2 linked regions of the Stegostoma tigrinum genome follow. The protein of the gene in region 1 purifies or fractionates together with the protein of each later gene. This does not show direct contact. Links are inferred from orthologs where the notes say so. Each region holds a gene or a part of one and is shown on either strand. Other genes may lie near its edges.

Region 1 (9,289 bases):
ATAAGGGCTTCGCTGAGCAGGCAGCATTTATTGCCCATCCCTAATTGCCCAGAAAACAGTTAAGAGTCAACCACATTGCTGAGGGTCTGGAGTCACATGTAGGCCAGACCAGGTAAGGATGGCAGTTTCCTTCCGTTAAGGACATTAATGAGCCAGTTGCGTTTTTCCAACAATTGGCAATGGATTTACAGATATCCTAGGCTCTTAATTCCAGATATTAACTGAATTCAAATTCCACCACCTGCTGTGGTGGGATTCGAGCCCAGGCATCCAGAACATTACCTGGGTCTCTGGATTGACAGTCTCATAATAATAGCATTTAGCCATTGTCTCCCCGACGGTAAGTAAGCTCGTTTATGGATGAATCTTCTCCAACTTGGTCTTAAGTTAGAGATTCCTGTGTTGTTGGGGACATTGCATTTTTCAGTTGAATTTGAGGATGCCTTCAAAGCTTTTCATCTGCTCACTTAGTAATTGTTTGCTGTGATGAGGTTTTGAGTTAGGAGATTGCTTTGGAAGTCTTCTGTCAGACATGCAGGCAACATGGCCTGTCCAATACAGCTGGTTGATCAAAACTAATGCCCCATCCTGAGGATGTTCACTGGAAGAGATCACGGATATTGGAGCACATATTTTGCCAGTGAATGTACAAGATACTTTGTGGCAGTTATGCACACTTACACACAAATGCACACCCTCATACTCACATGTTCACACTCACAATCATACACAAATCACACAGTCACACACCCAAACCCGCACCTTCACACTTCAACACAACTGGCACATATCATGTTCTCATGCACATCACACTCATACACCCCAACACACATACACAGCACATATATAAGCACTTTCATAGACACCTTTGCACTGTCATACCAAAATACAGTCTGAGAAACCCAAAATGCTTCCACTTTGATATACAGCCAAGCACACCTTTACATTTCTACACATCCTCACATGCATGAACACCCATGCACTAACAGATTTACTAACAGACTAAGGAATATTTGACACACTCAGATGCACATTCAAAAACCACATCTATACACACACATGCTTCTTGCATTCCCAAACTTGCTATCAGCAATGGCTGAAGGTACAACATGTAGCGAAGGCTCCAGGTATTGACAGTAATACCAAAGACTTGTACTCTATAATTAGCCACATAACTAATCAGTTTAATCTAGTGCAGTTGCAACAATGGCATCATCCTGACAATAAGGAAAATTACCCAGAATTATAATGTCCTCAAAAATCAGAACAAACCTAACCCAGTCAATTACAACCCTATCAGTCTGTTCTTGATCATCAGCAAAGGGATAGAAAGTGTCATCAATGGTAGCAGCAAACAGCACTTGCAAAGCAAGAACCAACACTGTCAATATCCTTTTAGCCTCCACTAATTCCTCTCAGATCCTGACATCATTAGTCTCGGTTGAAACACAGATGAAGAGCTGAATTGAACAAGTGACATGAATGTGACTGCCCTTGGCATCCAGACAGTATTTGTGTGAGTGGGGCATCAACAATTCCGGCAAAGTTTAAATGAATAGGAATCAGGAAGAGAACCACACACAGACTGGAGTCATAACCAGCACAAATAAAAATGGTTGTTATAGCCTTTGAGCAGAACATTGCAGGTGTTGCTCAGAGTGGTAACTTACTTATTTTTTATTCATTTATCTGACATGGGCTGCCCTGGCTGGGCCAACATTTATTGCCCATCCTGGGTTCCTTCAAGAAGATAGTGGTGAGCTGCCTTCATGGGCTGCTACAGTCCATTTGGTGGAGGTCCAAAGTGCTGGAAGGAGAGAGTTCCAGGATTTTGACCCAATGACACGAAAGTATCGGCAGTATCTTTCCTAGTCTGAAGTAGCCTGCAGGGGAACTTGGAAGATGGTGGTGTATCCATTTTTCTGCTCCCTTGTTCTTCTCAATGGTAGGCTTGACAGATGCTTAACCCATCATTTTCAGCTTCATTTTCAATGGCTTTCCTTCCATCATAAAGTCAGAGGGAAGGTTGTATATTGAAGATTGCAAAATGTTCAGCATCATTAGCAACTCTTCAGGTACTGTAGATGTCCATGCCTGAATGTAAAACAACTGAATGCAAGAAGTGATAAGCATTGTCCACTTTACACAAGTGCCAGGCAATGACTAATTCCAACAGCAGAGAATCTAACTATCTCTCCATGACTCTCAATGGCATTAGTGTAGCCGAATCCCCTCCGAACAGTATTCCAGTTGTTATCATAGATGAGAAAATAAACTGAACGAACCATATAAATACAGGAATTACAACAGCAAATCAGAGATTAGGAATCCTGCAGAAAGTAACTCATTTTCTCTCTCCCCAATGTCTATCAATCATCTACAAGGTACAAGTCAGCCATATGATAGGATACTTTCCATGGGGGCTGTTGTTGTGCAGTAGTAGTGTCCCTAACTTTAAGACAGAAGACTGGGGTTTAAGGGATACCTGTTTCAGAGGTGTATCATAACATGACTGAAGCGGTTGTTTTAAAAACATCTCTTGTGATGCAGTGGTAGTATGTGTACTTCTGAGCCAGGAGGCCAAGTTGAAGTCTCAAATGCCTTAGAGGTGTGTAGTAACATCTCTGAAAAGGCTGATTACATAATATCTAGAACACTCTCCACTCAACTGAATAAGTGCTGCTCAAGAAGCTAAAAACATTTTTTTGGGTCTTTTCTTTAATAAAGGTCTGAAAATCAATTTGAGCAGTGAACTAAAGATTTTTTTTCCAAGAAAGCATGTGACTGAAATTAATTGACTCAATCAGCTACCCGGGAAATCAATTGCTGAATGTTTACAAAGTTGAACTTGTATGACATACTGAAAAACAGATGACCAGAGTCCATTTATTAGTCGAGTTCAGAAGAAAAATTTCCCAAATGGAGTACTGGTTGTTTTATAGAAATCTCTAGACTATGAGAGGTTAGTTTGAATCAGTCTCCAAGCTGTGAGAGTTGGTAGAAATCTCTAAGTTGTTAGAATCAGAAGGAAACATCTGAGCCATCGCAGCTAGAAAGAAGTCTTTAATTGCTTTAGCAGTCCAAGGAGCAGAACTGGAAAGAATGATTCAAGTTAAAGAGTTAACATAGTAATTATAATTCAAGGGTTTACATGGCTGTAAAAGATATCGCTGGGAAACAGTTGAATTTTTGTATTTTTGCTGTTTATGATAGATTTTCTAAATTATCACATGTTCATACTTTTTTTCCTTTTGTATGATAAACATTTTTACCTTTTTTAGATGGACATTTCAGCCTTGCTCGTATCAATAAGTGATCGCCACAGTAGCCAAACTACAGAAGTAAAACTGACATTCTAACAAGCCAGGTTTCACTCTGAGATCTGGTTTGTCCATCTTTACCTTCAGCAGGGATCATAATACATATTATGACTTGATACAGCTAACCAAATGTTTGGTCATATAATTGGATTTTAAAGAATGTCTTAAAGGAGCTAGAAGTGTTGAAGTGGCAGTCAGGTAACCAACCGAATCAGGTTTTCAATGAACAATAACAAAGTTGCTGGAAAAGCTCAGCAGGTCTGGTAGCATCTGCAAATGAAAAAAACAGAGTAAATGGTTTGGGTCCGGTGGCCGTTCCTCAGAATTGGATTTTCCAGGACCATCTTATATTGGAGGTCTAAGCTCTAAACAATCTCTAGCCAGGATGCTGTTGTCCTCTAACCTTGTGATTTAACTCTTGTGTAGCCTCCGTAAGTCTTCCACTTACATATGCACTGTGATGGTCCACTCTGACAAGTTCAGAAAAAACCTAGAAGGTAGGATCAAAAGTAGGCCATTCAACCCATCGAATCTGCTCAATCCCATCAATTTCTCCATCAACATTTCTCTACTGATAAAGATATGCTTCAGTGCATCTGTCTCATTAAATCTCGTACTCCTGATCATTTACGATACATTATTTGTGTTCTCTTTAGTGAAAACAGAAACGAAGTATGAACTTTGCTGGTCAGCCATTTCTCTGTTCCCCATTATAAATTCCCCCATTTCTGACAGAAAAGGACTCTCATCAACTGCCAACTTTTACAGGTTCTGCAGCACATATAAACTCAGACCATCAGATGCCAAATGTTTTTAGTCTAGTGTGTAAAAGTTAGTTACCCTAATGGAGAGGTTGACAGTTGGAATTCCAGAGTTTAAGACTTGGATACTTAAAGGCACAACTGGTGGTGGCACTAAAAATGGAGATGCACAGATGATTACAGTTGGATGAATATTAAGCACTCAGAGACTTGTAGGGATGGATGAGAATTTTAAAATCAAAGCACTGCTGGACGAGGAATCAATATAAACTCTGAGACTGAAGGGATGGCTCATTGGTAATTGGGCAAGCGAGAATTTTGAATCCATTCAGATCAAGACACAATGGACAAAGAAACAAATATGAACTAACGGAGTCAGCAGAGACTTGATGACAGCAAGTATAGCGAACATTGTCAAGACTCTGAGAACCTAACTAAAGTGATAGATAAGGGAGTCTATAACTATTCGTGCAGATTTCCAGAAGACCGTTGATAAGGTTTCACATGTGAGACTGTTAACACAAATAAGAGTGAATGGAATTGAAAGTGCCCACAGTAATCAATTGTTTTGCATTTGGTGAAGAATCTGTCTTCTATTAATGTTCATTGTGCTTGATTAGTCAAGCCTGGATGCAGATCCAGAAGATGAACAAAGCTGCCGTAAGTTGTCAAAAGCTTGAGCTGTAAGCATGGAACAAACATGAAGCTCTGTAAATCAAACCTCTTGCACACATTGAAAATCGTGTGTTATCTTTACATAACTCTGAGGCACATAAAATTGACAACATACCTATTCAGAGGATAGGGAATAAGGCAGAAGATAGAAAAGAGATTAGGAAATAATAGGTACGCACTCAAATTGCAGGATGATGTCTTTGGGCTGTCCTGTCGAATATTCAGTGAGTGAAGTGGATATTGGGGATGTTCTCTGGTGACTGAACTTCAACATTACAGAGCGCAAGGGAAGAGAAACGTCCCGAATTCGGAACCAAGTCTCTTTAAACCCCTCCGTCCTCTCTGACAGGCTTTGCCAAACTGGACTACAACTCCCAGCGGCCTCGGCGGCAGCCGCCGCGCAGGCGCTGTCTGCCGGTCTCCCTCAGTCCTGACAGGACCCTGGGAGCTCGGAGCAACATGGCGGAAGTGGAGCGGGTAAATACAGGAGGGTAGGGGATCTCCGTGTTAATGGCCACTCTGTGTATTTTCATGGGGCAGCTTCTCAGAGGAGTGACAGTGAGCATGAGCCGAGCTGTACTCCCTATCGTCCTCAGGATATTGTCAGATTGTGGGAGTTGTCTATGTCTCTGTCTAAAATCCCACAACATTACTGAAGGACTGGTTTCGTTGAGCTTTCCGCTTCAGTCTGTTCTTATTGTCATTTCTAAATATGCAATGTGCAGGGATTGCCTTCGCTTCAACAAATACATATTCGAAAGCAAGTGTAAGAGTGCACATTGTTGCTACACTGTTCTTTCAAGGATTGTTTAGTGAATGTGCTCAGGGCTGAGCTGAAGTTTCATAGCTGTCTAATATTAGTGTCCCTGCTATATCTCGTGGCTTAAGAGACTGCTGGACCTGCATATGGTCACAGAAATTTGAGGGTGCATACGTGAGGATCAATGGTCGGCACAACATTGTGGGACGAAGGGCATGTTCTGTGCTGTACTGTTCTATGTTCTATGATGCCCCTCTGCTGTTAATCTCTTATTCATTTCCGATTTTAGTTGCTGCATTATTGGCAGCCTTGCCTTCAGCCACCAAGGCCCAATACTTTGCAGCCTCTTCCTTAAACTTTTCCACCTCTTTACGTCTGTTTTCTTCTCAATCTGCCTTTGGTCAGCTGTTTTCCGCTGAATCTTCTGATGGCTGAATTGCATTTAATTTGATCATGCTGCTTTGAAGCGCATGGTTTTTTTGTGCAACAAGGGGGACATGTAAATGTAAAAGTGGGACATCTGCCACCGACAATCGTTTAATGAAGCAGGGGGTGGGGATGGCTGGTTCCTTCTGTTTGAATTTTGTACAGACTATGAAGTGTTCTACTATTAAATGGGAATGTTTATTCAAATGATTTTTTTTTGAAGTCACATTGCCGCCTGACTGAGAAACAGTTTTCCAGTAGATTGCTGGTACTCAAGAATGTCCAGAATGTCCTCTTTTCCTAACCTAGCAGATTTGTTTGGATTAGGGAGTGAATTCAGAGGTACACAACATGCTGTCGAATTTCAATGAATGTTTAAAAGCCTGGTGACCCATGTAGGTAATCAATGAACTAGAAGGAGCAAACATGCAATAATCCTTTCTGATTCATACAATTCTGGTCGCCCTCCTACAGGAAGGATGTTGTTAAACTATGAAAGGTGCAGGAAAGATTTACAAGGATGTTGCTGATACTGCAGTGTTTGGGTTATAAGGAGAGGCTGAGACTATTTTCCCCTGGAGTGTTGGAGGATGAGGGGTGACCTTTTGAGATATATAAAATTATGAGGCCATAGATAAGAGGAATAGCTGGAGTTTTTTCCAAGGGTAGGGGAGTCCAAAACTAGAGGGCATAAATATAAGGCGAGGGGGAAATATTTAAAAGGGACCTGAGGGTGATCTGTATTTGGAACGAGATGCTAGTGTTAGAGGTGGGTATAATTACAACATTTAAAAGACAGAGACATGAATAGGAAAGATTTAAAGGGATATGGACCAAACAGTGGCAAATGGGGCTAGTTGAGTTTCGGGAACCTGGTCAGCATGGATAAGTTGGACTGAAGGATCAGTTTCCATGCTGTATGACTCTATGTACCAGGACAGCAAGCTAAGAGGCCAGAGGATTCAGGACTTCTGAAGAACATATTTACAGTAGATATTGAGGTATTTAGTTTGAGGATAATCAAGCTTCTATAAGCAACTGAGGCCAAGACACTGATCTCTTTTTGATGAGGAAACTGTTTAGGCTGTTGTGAAGATGGAGTTAATATCCTATAGGGATAACAAGCTGTGGAGCTGGTTGAACACAGCAGGCCAAGCAGCATCTTAGGAGCACAAAAGCTGACGGTTCGGGCCTAGACCCTTCAGACTCGGATTCTCCAGCATCTGCAGTTCCCATTATGTCTAATATCCTACAAGGATAGGTTTGAATTGGATCATGTGAGGGCTGTTTTTTTATTAATGTTTATCATGCATTAAACAATCTTTTGGGAGTAGGAATCTTGTCAATATGAAACTTTTACAGTGTCATGTAAAGGTTTTGTTTCTAGCCAAAATTAAAACTCAATGTGTCAACATAAAGATCAGCCATCCAAGCCCTTGCCTAAGGCTCAAACAGACCACCCACTTTAACCTCTTATGAGAAGTGATACTACATTCGAGGCATTAAATGCATGATTTGGAATTTGAAAAACAAAACCTGCTAGAAAGGCAGTTCGGTTTTTGTTTCTGATTTCCAGCATACACAGTTCTTTCAGTTTTTATTTGGCTCATTATAAAGTTTGCAAGAAAGTGGATGCTACATTTACTATATTTCAAGGTGCCATTCAACTATATTTCTTCTTTACTAGGCAAACCAAATTATAAGTGCTCCTCAATTTGGTACAGCCATTGTGTAATTATATAAAATGTGTTTAATTGCAGAAATAAGATGTTATAGTAACACATTATAGAGCTTTCTCTTTTAGCGCTGATATGGTTTATGTCAGTATCAGTTGACTACGTCCAGAATTTTCTGAATTCATTTATCTAATAGGACAGCAGTATCAATGAGCTGAGAATTTGAGTTAATATTTTTGGTCTTCTGACCTGTCATCAAATCTCAACTCAACTAATAAAATCTTTGGCTATGTAAGTAATCCCTGGTTGTATTTGCAATGTGAATGTCTGGCCTAATTTGCCAAATATGTCACCATTTTATAAATTGCTAAAGTCAGCAAGTTCCACAACACAACTTTGTTAATCACCTGGGAAATCTGTCTCGGGAAATCTGTCTCTCGAAATTTCTGTGACAGTTGCAGCCTTAGTTTTAGGCATGTGCTGTTTTAAAAATGTGTAAATAATTGTGATATTTTACAGGCAATTCCTCTTGGTTCGAAATATCTCTTATTTCAACATTAAATCTCCCAAACCACCTCCACCGTGTCATGTTTGTGTCAAATCATGGGTTCTGCAGATGTGATGTGAATTTTTTTATTTTTATCATTGGACTGTATCATGATTGTATATATTTCCTCTTTGAGGAGTTAAGTTACTTAATTTAACAGAAACTATACTTCCGAATCTCATAGTTTTCACCAAAATATCCAAGATGTTTTGCGTTTATTGTCTGACATGAAGTGTCCTGTAAATGAAGAATTTTTATGACCGCTCTTTCTATCAAACATAGAGTCCTTGAATGTTCCAGAACAGAATTAGACTATTGAGCTTTAAATTTGTCATTTTTTTTCTTTCATATGAGCCAGTTGGACTAATCCAACTCCTTTCTCACTCCCAGCTTATTTTAATATTTCCATCGTCAAACAAATACATAACGAATTATAAAAAGGGATTCTGTGCCAATTTTGGAATGTAGCAATGAATTCTGTATTAGCTTCATTTTGCTTCTCCAAGAGGTGACATGCTGCTCTGTGTGTGTATATAAAGGATCTGGGGTTGGGAGATGCTGCTGGTGTAAAGTGCTGGCTAGGGAGAATGGGTTTAATGGAATCTACACATTGACATTAGGGTTTTATAAGCTTCACTTTTTCTATCCTTTTTGGTGCTGTATGTTCAAATCGCCACATGTAGAGATGCAATTTTACTTAAATTCTATGTGCTAACCTTAAATTTATGTCCTGTTCAGTCCTTCTAGTTCACCCTAAAGTGCTGTCAGTACGATAATTTGCATCACATCCTAATCTCACAACATCCAATGATTTAGTTTCCTATCTACCCCTTGTCTGCTAAAGCTTTGATGTTAAAATCTCCTTATTCCTATCTCTATGTCCCCATCTTTAAATTCTTCCTGCCCTACAATTTCTGGAGTGTTGTTTCTCCAATTCTAGTCCCAACATCTCCAGATCCTTGGTGGCTCTTTCTTCAACTATTTGGACCCTTAGCTCTGAACTGCTCCATTCCCCCTGTCTGAAAGGACTGCTTCATTGGCTTGGCATAAGTTTCTGCACGGTCACACTCTGCTGAAGTGCCTTGGAATATTTCAGCATGTTAAAAAACACTAAATAACGGTCA
Region 2 (9,397 bases), on another chromosome or scaffold:
CTTTAGATTGGTTAAATTTATGGAAATCTCATTGATCTGCCTTTTGCTTCATCTCAACTAATAAGTTAGTCATCATCGTATGAAGAAAACTCTGGAGAGAAGGATAACTCTCATATGTGGGAGCTTCATTGTCAACCGGTAAAAATGACTCTTTGGATCATTTACTGATCTAGTTCGGTGAGGAACTTCCAGATTTAACCTACCTCAGGTGTTGAGGACACAAGGAAAGAAGTAATAATGTGGAAACAGGCCATTTGGTTTCTTAGTATTTACTGTGCAGTCAAGTAAATAGTCTGGTCATAATGTCGTTTCCAGCATTTGTTTTTTATTTTTGTATCCAGCTATTAGTCTAACCTTGAAGGTACGGGCATTTCACCAGACATTAATTTTCTCATCTCAGTGCTTTGTAACTAAATTTATTTTGTTCTTCTAAGTCTGTTGCACTTATACTTATAAACCCTAATTTTAGACAAATCAATCACCCTAAGCAGCCTACATTTATCCCACAGCACTCCAGGCTGAAGTCAGTGAGGGGGAGAATGCCCATGGCCCATACAATTGACATGCAGCAGTTAAATCTTGCAAGAGCATTCATTCTTTCAACCAAAACTCTCCCTGTTTCGGGAGGCCTTCCCGGTTAGTGAGCTGCCAACCACTGTGGTGGATGGGAACAGTGGGCCAGTATTAAGACTATAGGCACTCCCCAATGTTGAGGAACCGATGTTAAGTTGAAGAGTTGAGGATCTTTTATAGGGGACTGTCAACAAACCTGGGGGGACGGAGTGGATGTGGATGTCAGAAAGTCAAGGCAAAATTCAGGCACGTGAATGGGGATTGTGTTTGATGGAGCCTATGAACATGCAGATGTGGTCTTCCCTCGGCTACGTGGCTAAAGTTGTTTGGTTTCTGGTATATATGAGCCTACCCTTCCGCAAGCAAAATACCAGATGAGACAGGGTAAAGCCCTGCAGTGGCCTTCAAACCTGCTAATAGATTGTGTAAACAGTTGCCTAGAGTGAATTCATATTATTATCCTCTTTAAAGTGTCGATAAATTTCCTATTGTGTAGAACTTTATTGGACACTACCACCCACACAAACACAAGCAACAGGCGGGAGTAACCCACTTGTTCTTATCCCCGCTTGCAAGTACCACATTTTTAATTACTTTATTTTTGGACTTTTTAAAAGTACTGTTTTAAGCCACAGAGACTGTGCAAAGCAATGGCTGTGATTTTAAAACTCGTTTACTGGAGTACAATGTGAGTTATATACAATATTGTTTTCCCCTGATTCAAGAGAAAGCAGGCACCACAGAGTCAGAACCAGGATGACAATTGCTTGACAATATTTTGATTGGCTGTTATTGAGGTGGCCTTGGCTCGTGCAGGGACAGGGCAGCAGAGAATCCTCCACCCTGCAAAGAGGTGAAAAGAAATCTGTCTCTCTTGTTCTGGAGGTACCAGAAAGTCTCCAGTAACACTTGCTGCCTTCCATTCAGCTTGCTCTGCAAACCCTCTGTTGAAGGATGAATAAAAATCTATCAAAAAGTGAAAGGGCAAATTCTCGATCTGCAAATGAAAAATCGTATCAGCATGCAAACAACAGTGATTCATCAGCAAAGAAGTAAAATGAATCAGAAGAAACTGAAATAAACAATTCATTCCTTGTGATTTAGACACTATTGAATTGTGTTTCCCTGACATTATTTATCGTTTCCCAGCCTTAAAGCCCATGTTGTCTGTCTGTTTGTGATGGGGATGGGAAATTTAAAACAGCTAGAGTTTACATTAAAGTGTAATAAGTTAGCAATTCACAATTTTAATTTCCCTTGTTTAAAGCCAATTTGTTTATTAATAAACAAGTTTCTTTTGTGAGGTACATAAACCAAGCAAGCGCTTTCTTTTGACTTGCGTTCATCAGTCAGGTAATTTGGGAGCTTTGAATAGTTTGACTGAATCTTTTCATATTTGTAATAAGTCCAGGATTAGTGGGACTTGGTTTGTAGTAGAAGAAGCCAGTCTCTCTCTGAAGTGCATTGACTTGAGAGCTAGGCTACCTCAATACAATTGTACTCTCTCATGCAGAAGAAATCACTGTGCAACTAAGTGAGATAGTTTTTGTTTTCTTAATTCAAGATTTGAATACAAATTTTGAGTGCTATTATACCATGAAGCCACCGGGTCTGAGACCATTTTGGTTCTAATGCTGAAGATGTATACCAAAAGTTTCAGACAAATTTCATTATGGCTATGTTACTGGAATTTATCTAGTCATGTTGCCTAGGCATGTCCTCTGTACAAACAAAGGACAACTCTGACTGGCTGCTACTTTATCCATTTACTTCTCATCAGAAGTGAAGTAATGGTCAGAGTCATCAGATAATGCCAACCCATCAATAGCCTTCTCATCAACACTCAGTTTGCAAAACCAATAGATTCCACACTTAATCACAAAGTCTTAACATGTTGCAGGGATGAGGACAAATATCTTAGTTTCTCCAGCTACTGTGCATACTGTGACATTTAATGTAAAAGCAAACAGGGCATTTTGTATTCTGCCTGTCATGGTCTGCTGTAGGTTGCAGAGAGACATCGATAAGCTGCAGAGCTGGGCTGAGAGGTGGCAAATGGAGTTTAATGCAGACAAATGTGAGGTGATGCACTTTGGTAGGAGTAACCGGAAGGCAAAGTACAGGGCTAATGGTAAGATTCTGAGTAGTGTAGATGAGCACAGAGATCTCAGTGTCCATGTGCAGAGATCCTTGAAAGTTGCCACCCAGGTTGACAGGGCTGTTAAGAAGGCATACAGTGTTTTAGCTTTTATTAATAGAGGGATTGAATTCCGGAACCAAGAGGTTATGCTGCAGCTGTACAAAACTCTGGTGCGGCCGCATTTGTGGAGTATTGTGTACAGTTCTGGTCACTATTATAAGAAGGATGTGGAAGCTTTGGAAAGGGCGCAGAGGAGATTTACTAGGATGTTGCCTGGTATGGAGGGCAGGTCTTACGAGGAAAGGCTGAGTGACTTGAGGCTGTTTTCGTTAGAGAGAAGAAGGTTGAGAGGTGACTTAATTAAAACATATAAAATAATCAGGGATTAGATAGGGTGGATAGGGAGAGCCTTTTTCCTAGGATGGTGACGGCGAGCACGAGGGGGCATAGCTTTAAATTGAGGGGTGAAAGATATAGGACAGATGTCAGAGGTAATTTCTTTACTCAGAGAGTAGTAAGGGAATGGAACACTTTGCCTGCAACAGTAGTAGATTCGCCAACTTTAGGTACATTTAAGTCGTCATTGGACAAGCATATGGACGTACATGGAATAGTGTAGGTTAGATGGGCTTGAGATCGGTATGACAGGTCAGCGCAACATCGAGGGCCAAAGGGCCTGTACTGTGCTGTAATGTTCTATGTTCTATGGTCTTAAGACATTTCAATTTGCTTTATAGACAAAACTGTAATGGCGAAGCGCAATCTCAGTTGTACTGTAGGAGATGTAGGTTAATGATTTCAAAATATTTCCACAGTTGTTTACATAGAATCATTTTTATAACATTTTTATTTCATGTTGATAGTGCTGTTAAGAAGGCTTACGGTGTGTTAGGTTTTATTGGTAGAGGGATTGAGTTCCGGAACCATGATGTCATGCTGCAACTGTACAAAATGTTAGTGCAGCCTCACCTGGAATATTGCATGCAGTTCTGTTTGCCCAATTACAGGAAAGATGTGGAAGCATTGGAAAAGGTGCAGAGGAGATTTACCAGGATGTTGCCTGGTCTGGAGCAAAGGCCTTATGAAGAAAGGCTGAGGGACTTGGGTCTGTTCTCATTGGAGAGAAGAAGGCTAAGAGGCGATTTAATAGAGACATACAAGATGATCAGAGGATTAGATAGGGTGGACAGTGAGAGTCTTTTTCCGAGTTTGATGACATCAGCTTGTACGAGGGGGCATAGCTACAAATTGAGGGGTGATACATATAAGACAAATGTCAGAGGCAGGTTCTTTACTCAGAGAGTGGTAAGGGCGTGGAACGCCCTGCTTGCCAATATAGTTAACTCAGCCACATTAGGGGCATTTAAACAGTCCTTGGATAGGCATATGGATGATGATGGGATAAGCGTAGGGGGATGGGCTTAGATTAGCTCACAGGTCAGCGCAACATCGAGGGCCAAAGGGCCTGTTCTGCACTGTATTGTTCTATGTTCTATGTAACATCGGGAACACCTTATACCTTCTTGTGCATTCCAGCTTTAGTCTCCCCAAAGTATGCTGGTTAAGTTCATGGGCTGCAATAACTACTTTCAGCGAGATTTTCACTTCTCTTCAAATGAGGTTAGAGTATCTACTCCCAGGTTGTGTACCCACTCATGTGACACTAACATGCACTATGTCACATCATATATGTTTCAGATGTTAACCTCATCCATCTCAACTACAGAAAGTTTTGAGATGATGGGAACTGCAGATGCTGGAGAATCCAAGATAACAAAATGTGGAGCTGGATGAACACAGCAGGCCAAGCAGCATCTTAGGAGCACAAAAGCTGACGTTTCGGGCCAAAACCCTTCATCAGAGAGCTGAAGGGTCTAGGACCGAAACGTCAGCTTTTGTGCTCCTAAGATGCTGCTTGGCCTGCTGTGTTCATCCAGCTCCACACTTTGTTGTCTTATACAGAAAGTTTCTCCAATTTTCCCTTAAACATAAGTTTACATTTCTATGCTGCATCAACAGAAAATGAGTATTGGGAAGATTCACAACTTTGTGGGAGAGGGGAGCCAGTGACTGACAACAGGGACTCATTTGGAGCTGGAGTTGGGTTTTGAGTCAAGAGAGTTCTTTTTTATTTATTTGTTTATTTGTGAGTTTTGGGTAGTATATTTCTGCCCGTCCTGGCTTACAATAATTCAATTTAATTATTTACCAACCTAGTCTTTTAGCATACAGTACAGTTGTCAGAAAAAAGTAAACTGAAAGCTGTCACTCAGCACTCCAAGTATAATTGTAGATTGAGTTCTAATAGCATCAAATTTTTTTCTTGTGTTACTGTCAAAGACCTAGGGCTGTCTTATTAGATTTGCTGTTATTTCACTGTTGTCGTGCCGTGAATGCCACTAACTTAGTCAAAAATGCAGAATAAAATCACGCAACAGCAGGAAGGCAGCAAGATCCAAAAGAGGTGACTGCCTTGATTCTAAATGCCATCTGCCTGGTCTTCACTGGACAGGGGGAGTTTGGTTTGTTCGAGTTCCTTAAATTCCCATGTATTATCAAAACATAAAACTTGAATTTGTTTAGTGATGGTTGCACTGACACTTCAATTTAATTTTAAGCTTCTCTTCCCAAATGAATTGTGTGAGATTTTGGGATGGGGACGTTTGTCGTGATGTTGTGACTCAGATAACTGGAATGGAACCAAAATTAGTCCTCAATTTTAAATAGCGTTTATGCAAAAAGCAACACTGTTGAGTTAGTATTTTACATGCGTTCCCTGTGTAGTAACAGGTATATACAGCGTTCGTTAGTTATTGGTGAATTGAGTTAGATTGACCGAGACCTCAGTACATAAGCGCAGCAACTCCAACAGAACACGGTTACACGCCCGTGATGGACAGCTCAGGTCACGTGGGGCGGTGCCCGCCGTGTCACATGACCCGGCTCAAGATGGCAGCGCACCTCAGTTACGGAAGAGTGGTTCTTAACAACTTGCGAGAGGCGGCCCGCAAGGAGCTGCGCGAATTTCTGGATAAATGTGAAGGCAGCAAGGTCTGGGGGGGGGGGAGGATTTAGAGTGCTCGATACTCGCGGGAGCAGTCCGATTCCTGAAAACTCAGTTCTCCGGACCCCTCCCCCTCGGGATAAAGGATAGGTCGGCCCTGTCCAAAATTGAACCCTTCCCGGAGAGGAGGATAGCTCCCTTGGCCCATCTCAACTCCCGGCGTAGGGGGCCCTTCCAAGCATTAACTGCTCTGGGGCAAGGTGGTCCTTTCCAAAATTAACCCCCGAAACCCTGGGGGGAAGAGGACCACCCCAATCCATCTCGGCCCCTGTAATCTTTAGGGGCAAGTGAACCTGTTGCAATATTGAAACCCTCGATCCTGTGTCAATTAATCCTGAGAAATCTGTTAACAGTCTGCTTTATTATGAGAATACTGAACTGAACAATTGCTCAACTTTAGGAAGATGGGTGTGCAACGTTCATGGTGGACACCTATTCATGGAGTAATTAATTTTTCCTAATGTTTTTAAGGATTCTGTTTTTATGAAGCGTTATTGATTTTTTTTTTGACAGAGCACCGTTTTTCTTGTTACGGTTTCCGTTCTTCAGGAAATGAATTTGTAATGTTGTCAAACAGTTGTATTCTTGATCTTTCTTCCCTCCTAAATAAATCCACAAAACAGTTTATATCATAAGCTGATTTATTGGTTGAGTCAGCTTCCTCAAATGTGAAGTAAATAAAAATGCATGATATACATTTGTCACAAGACTAAAATTGACTTTCTCAGAAGTAGAATTAAGAAATTAAGATGCCTTAAAACAAGATTCTGTGTTTGCATTCTTTCACAAAATTTTACTCAATCCTAATGTTTTTGTATATTTCTTTCGTACCACACCACTAGGTTGATCTGTTGATTCTTTTAGCCCTTAGTTTGAAACTTGTGCCTTTTCCCTTCCTTCCTGCTGCCATCCCCATATTTAAAAAGAAGCCAAGTTGGAACCTAAGGTGTAAATGGGAAATATCACTTGATGTAGGAAGAAAAGCAAAGTTATTGCTCCAACTTGCATGGCTGTATGTGTAATAAGTAGAGCATGCTAAAGAAATAGTAGGCTTTAGACCAGTAGCATGGGGAAGTCTATGTTAGGTTGGAAGGCAGGACTGGTAAAGGACATGCAATAATGGTACAAACAGAAGTGAGTGTTAGCGGGACAGTAAATAAGTACAATATGAGATGATGGAGCTGTATATGTCAACAGCAAAACCAATACAGCATCTTCCTAAAAAAATTATGGAGTTGTGCTTATGATATGAAATCATTGAACTCGGGTATTGAATTTAGAAAATTGTAAAGCTGTGAACTGAAAGATGAGAAGCATTGGAACTTTATAGGACAGTATTGGTGGTCCAGGATTGGAAGTTCAAAGTGGGAGGTTTAAAAATGGCAAATGACTGAAAGCTCATGGTGAGGTTTGTAGATTGAATGGAATTTATTGGCAGTCATCTGTTTTTGTATGATTTTTGTTTTGCCATGACATTTCTGCTGTGCTAAAGTTCCAGTATCTGTAAATTGATTTTTTTTTTGTTTTTCTCTAGTTACTGTGTTGCAACACGATATGTTCATTTATGTCACAATGACTTGTTATTAATTTAGTCATGCTCACATTACTTCAGAGCAGCAATAAATTTTGTCAATGGTTCAATTTTAACTGACATCTTTACACCTACAAAGATGATGGATATATTTGTGAAATCTTCGTAAAGTGCTCACCTGATGGGTGGTGTCTGGTTCATTGAATATAGCACTATAAGCTTTCTAAGCCTAAAGAGTCTTTATGTTTTAGTTCAAAAGTGTGAGCAAAGTCATATGGTTTAATATTTAGTATTGCATTATCTCTTTTCCTTTATGCCACTTTCTTAAAATTCTGTTTATTTTGAGTCACAGTTAATCTTTACTGTATTGAATATCAGAACAACCTGTTAACTTTATCTCTTCAGGTAGATAAAAATCTAGTGTAAACACACTTTTTTTGTCTCATCTGATGTTACTTTTAACAAATGTGGCATAATACCTCTTTGTTCAGACAGTAATTATTTTTCTGCAACTGCACGTTAGAATGCTTTCAAATAGTTCAGAAAACAAAGGAGCTGAAATAAGAAATGACACAACGACCCCTTAAGATGTCTCTTTGCTTTTTTGGTTGTTGAGTGGTCTATCACTGTTCTGAAAATCTGGAACATTTCCTGCTACAAGATTCCAAAAATTAGCTTAATGAAGAAGGATGCTGGAACATAGTACAATATGGTATTTTTTGGTATTCTTAAAATATAGTTGTTTCCTTGTGCTTCTCATTCTTTAAACTGGAAATAATGATGAAATAGTTTTTGTGAGAATCATGTGTAAATTGTACAGTTGCCTTATTTGACCTCCTATCCTTAGACTATAAAACTTTGCAATTGTACCAGATGCCCTAGTGTGCAAAGGACAAGAACTCAACATTTTTATCCTGATTTCAGAGGTGTAATGGTCAAAACATTTTTGATACTTCATAATTTTAAACCAAGGCTAATTCACAGTGTTCTTTCAGGGAAAGAATCCTGCTGTCTTAACCTGATCTGGCCTATATCTTAGTCCAGTACTACACCATTGTGGTTAACTTTTCAATGTCCTTTCAAAATGGTCTAGAAAAGCACTTTTTTTTTCATATCACATTCCAAATCGCCTAAGGATGAGCAATAAATGTAAATCTTGCCAGCAATGCCCACGTCCTAATGTCCTGAAATTTTTCAAAATAGGAATGAGTTTACACTTTAAATGTCTGTTTTCTCTACTTCCTAAGTTACTGATAGCTGAATATTGTTGGAGGTGGTTTATCTCAATGCTCCAAGTGAAGGTACAAGACCATTTGAGAATACTGGACCTTGTGACTTTCTGGCATTTGGTTAGCTGTCTGTTTTTCTCACATAGGCAATAGTTTGGGATGAGTATCTTACTGGACCATTTGGATTGATTGCTCAATATTCCCTATTAAAGGTAAATGACTGCTCGTTTGTTTGCTACATTTTGGGCAATTTGAATGACCAATATTGCTATGTCTTTTAAAGTTTTGGCAAAGATCTGTAGCTTGGGTTATGGATGAGGTTGTTGACTTGCTTACCTGGCTAGCTTGTTTTTTGTTCAGACATTTCTCAACATGCTCAGTGACATCATCAGTGGACCCTCCAGTGAGGTGATGTTATTGTACTCCACTCGGAATTTATACAGTCTGGTCCGTTATGATGAGTATTGTCATTTCTGGTTTTGATCTATGTGGGGCCCAATGAAGTAGGAGTGCAGAACCATGTCTCTAGGAATTCCTGTGCGTGGCTATGTTTGGCTTGTGACAAAGTAACCCAAAGTACAGAATTGGACCCCATATACAAACCCATACAGATCAAAACCAACAATGACACTACTCACCATGATGGTGAGTGCTGTATAAATTCAGCAGAGTAGAACACCACTTCACCAGAGACTCCACTGATGATGTCACCTAGCATGGTGACGAAATGTCTGATCAAAATCGAACCGGTGAGCGAGAAAACACCCTCATTGATATGTTTAATGCTAAGAAATAAAATTACATTTTCTTGACTTATTTTCCAAAGAAAATTCATTATCGAGGTAGTTGATTGAGATTGG

Evidence for each region.
Region 2: the proteins of vps41 (region 1) and vps33a purify together in Homo sapiens (affinity purification with mass spectrometry; 5 studies listed by BioGRID and IntAct, counting the BioPlex papers as one, with this or other methods). This does not show direct contact. The link is inferred for Stegostoma tigrinum from reciprocal best matches to the Homo sapiens genes VPS41 and VPS33A.

What each region holds. Positions count from the first base shown.
Region 1 is NC_081358.1:10,708,493-10,717,781, forward strand, and holds the start of vps41 (vacuolar protein sorting-associated protein 41 homolog), read left to right. Parts: upstream 1-5,160; 5' UTR 5,161-5,215; coding exon 5,216-5,233; intron 5,234-9,289. UniProt on the Homo sapiens protein: Plays a role in vesicle-mediated protein trafficking to lysosomal compartments including the endocytic membrane transport and autophagic pathways. Acts as a component of the HOPS endosomal tethering complex.
Region 2 is NC_081379.1:25,835,272-25,844,668, reverse strand, and holds the start of vps33a (vacuolar protein sorting-associated protein 33A), read left to right. Parts: upstream 1-5,647; coding exon 5,648-5,764; intron 5,765-8,683; coding exon 8,684-8,749; intron 8,750-9,397.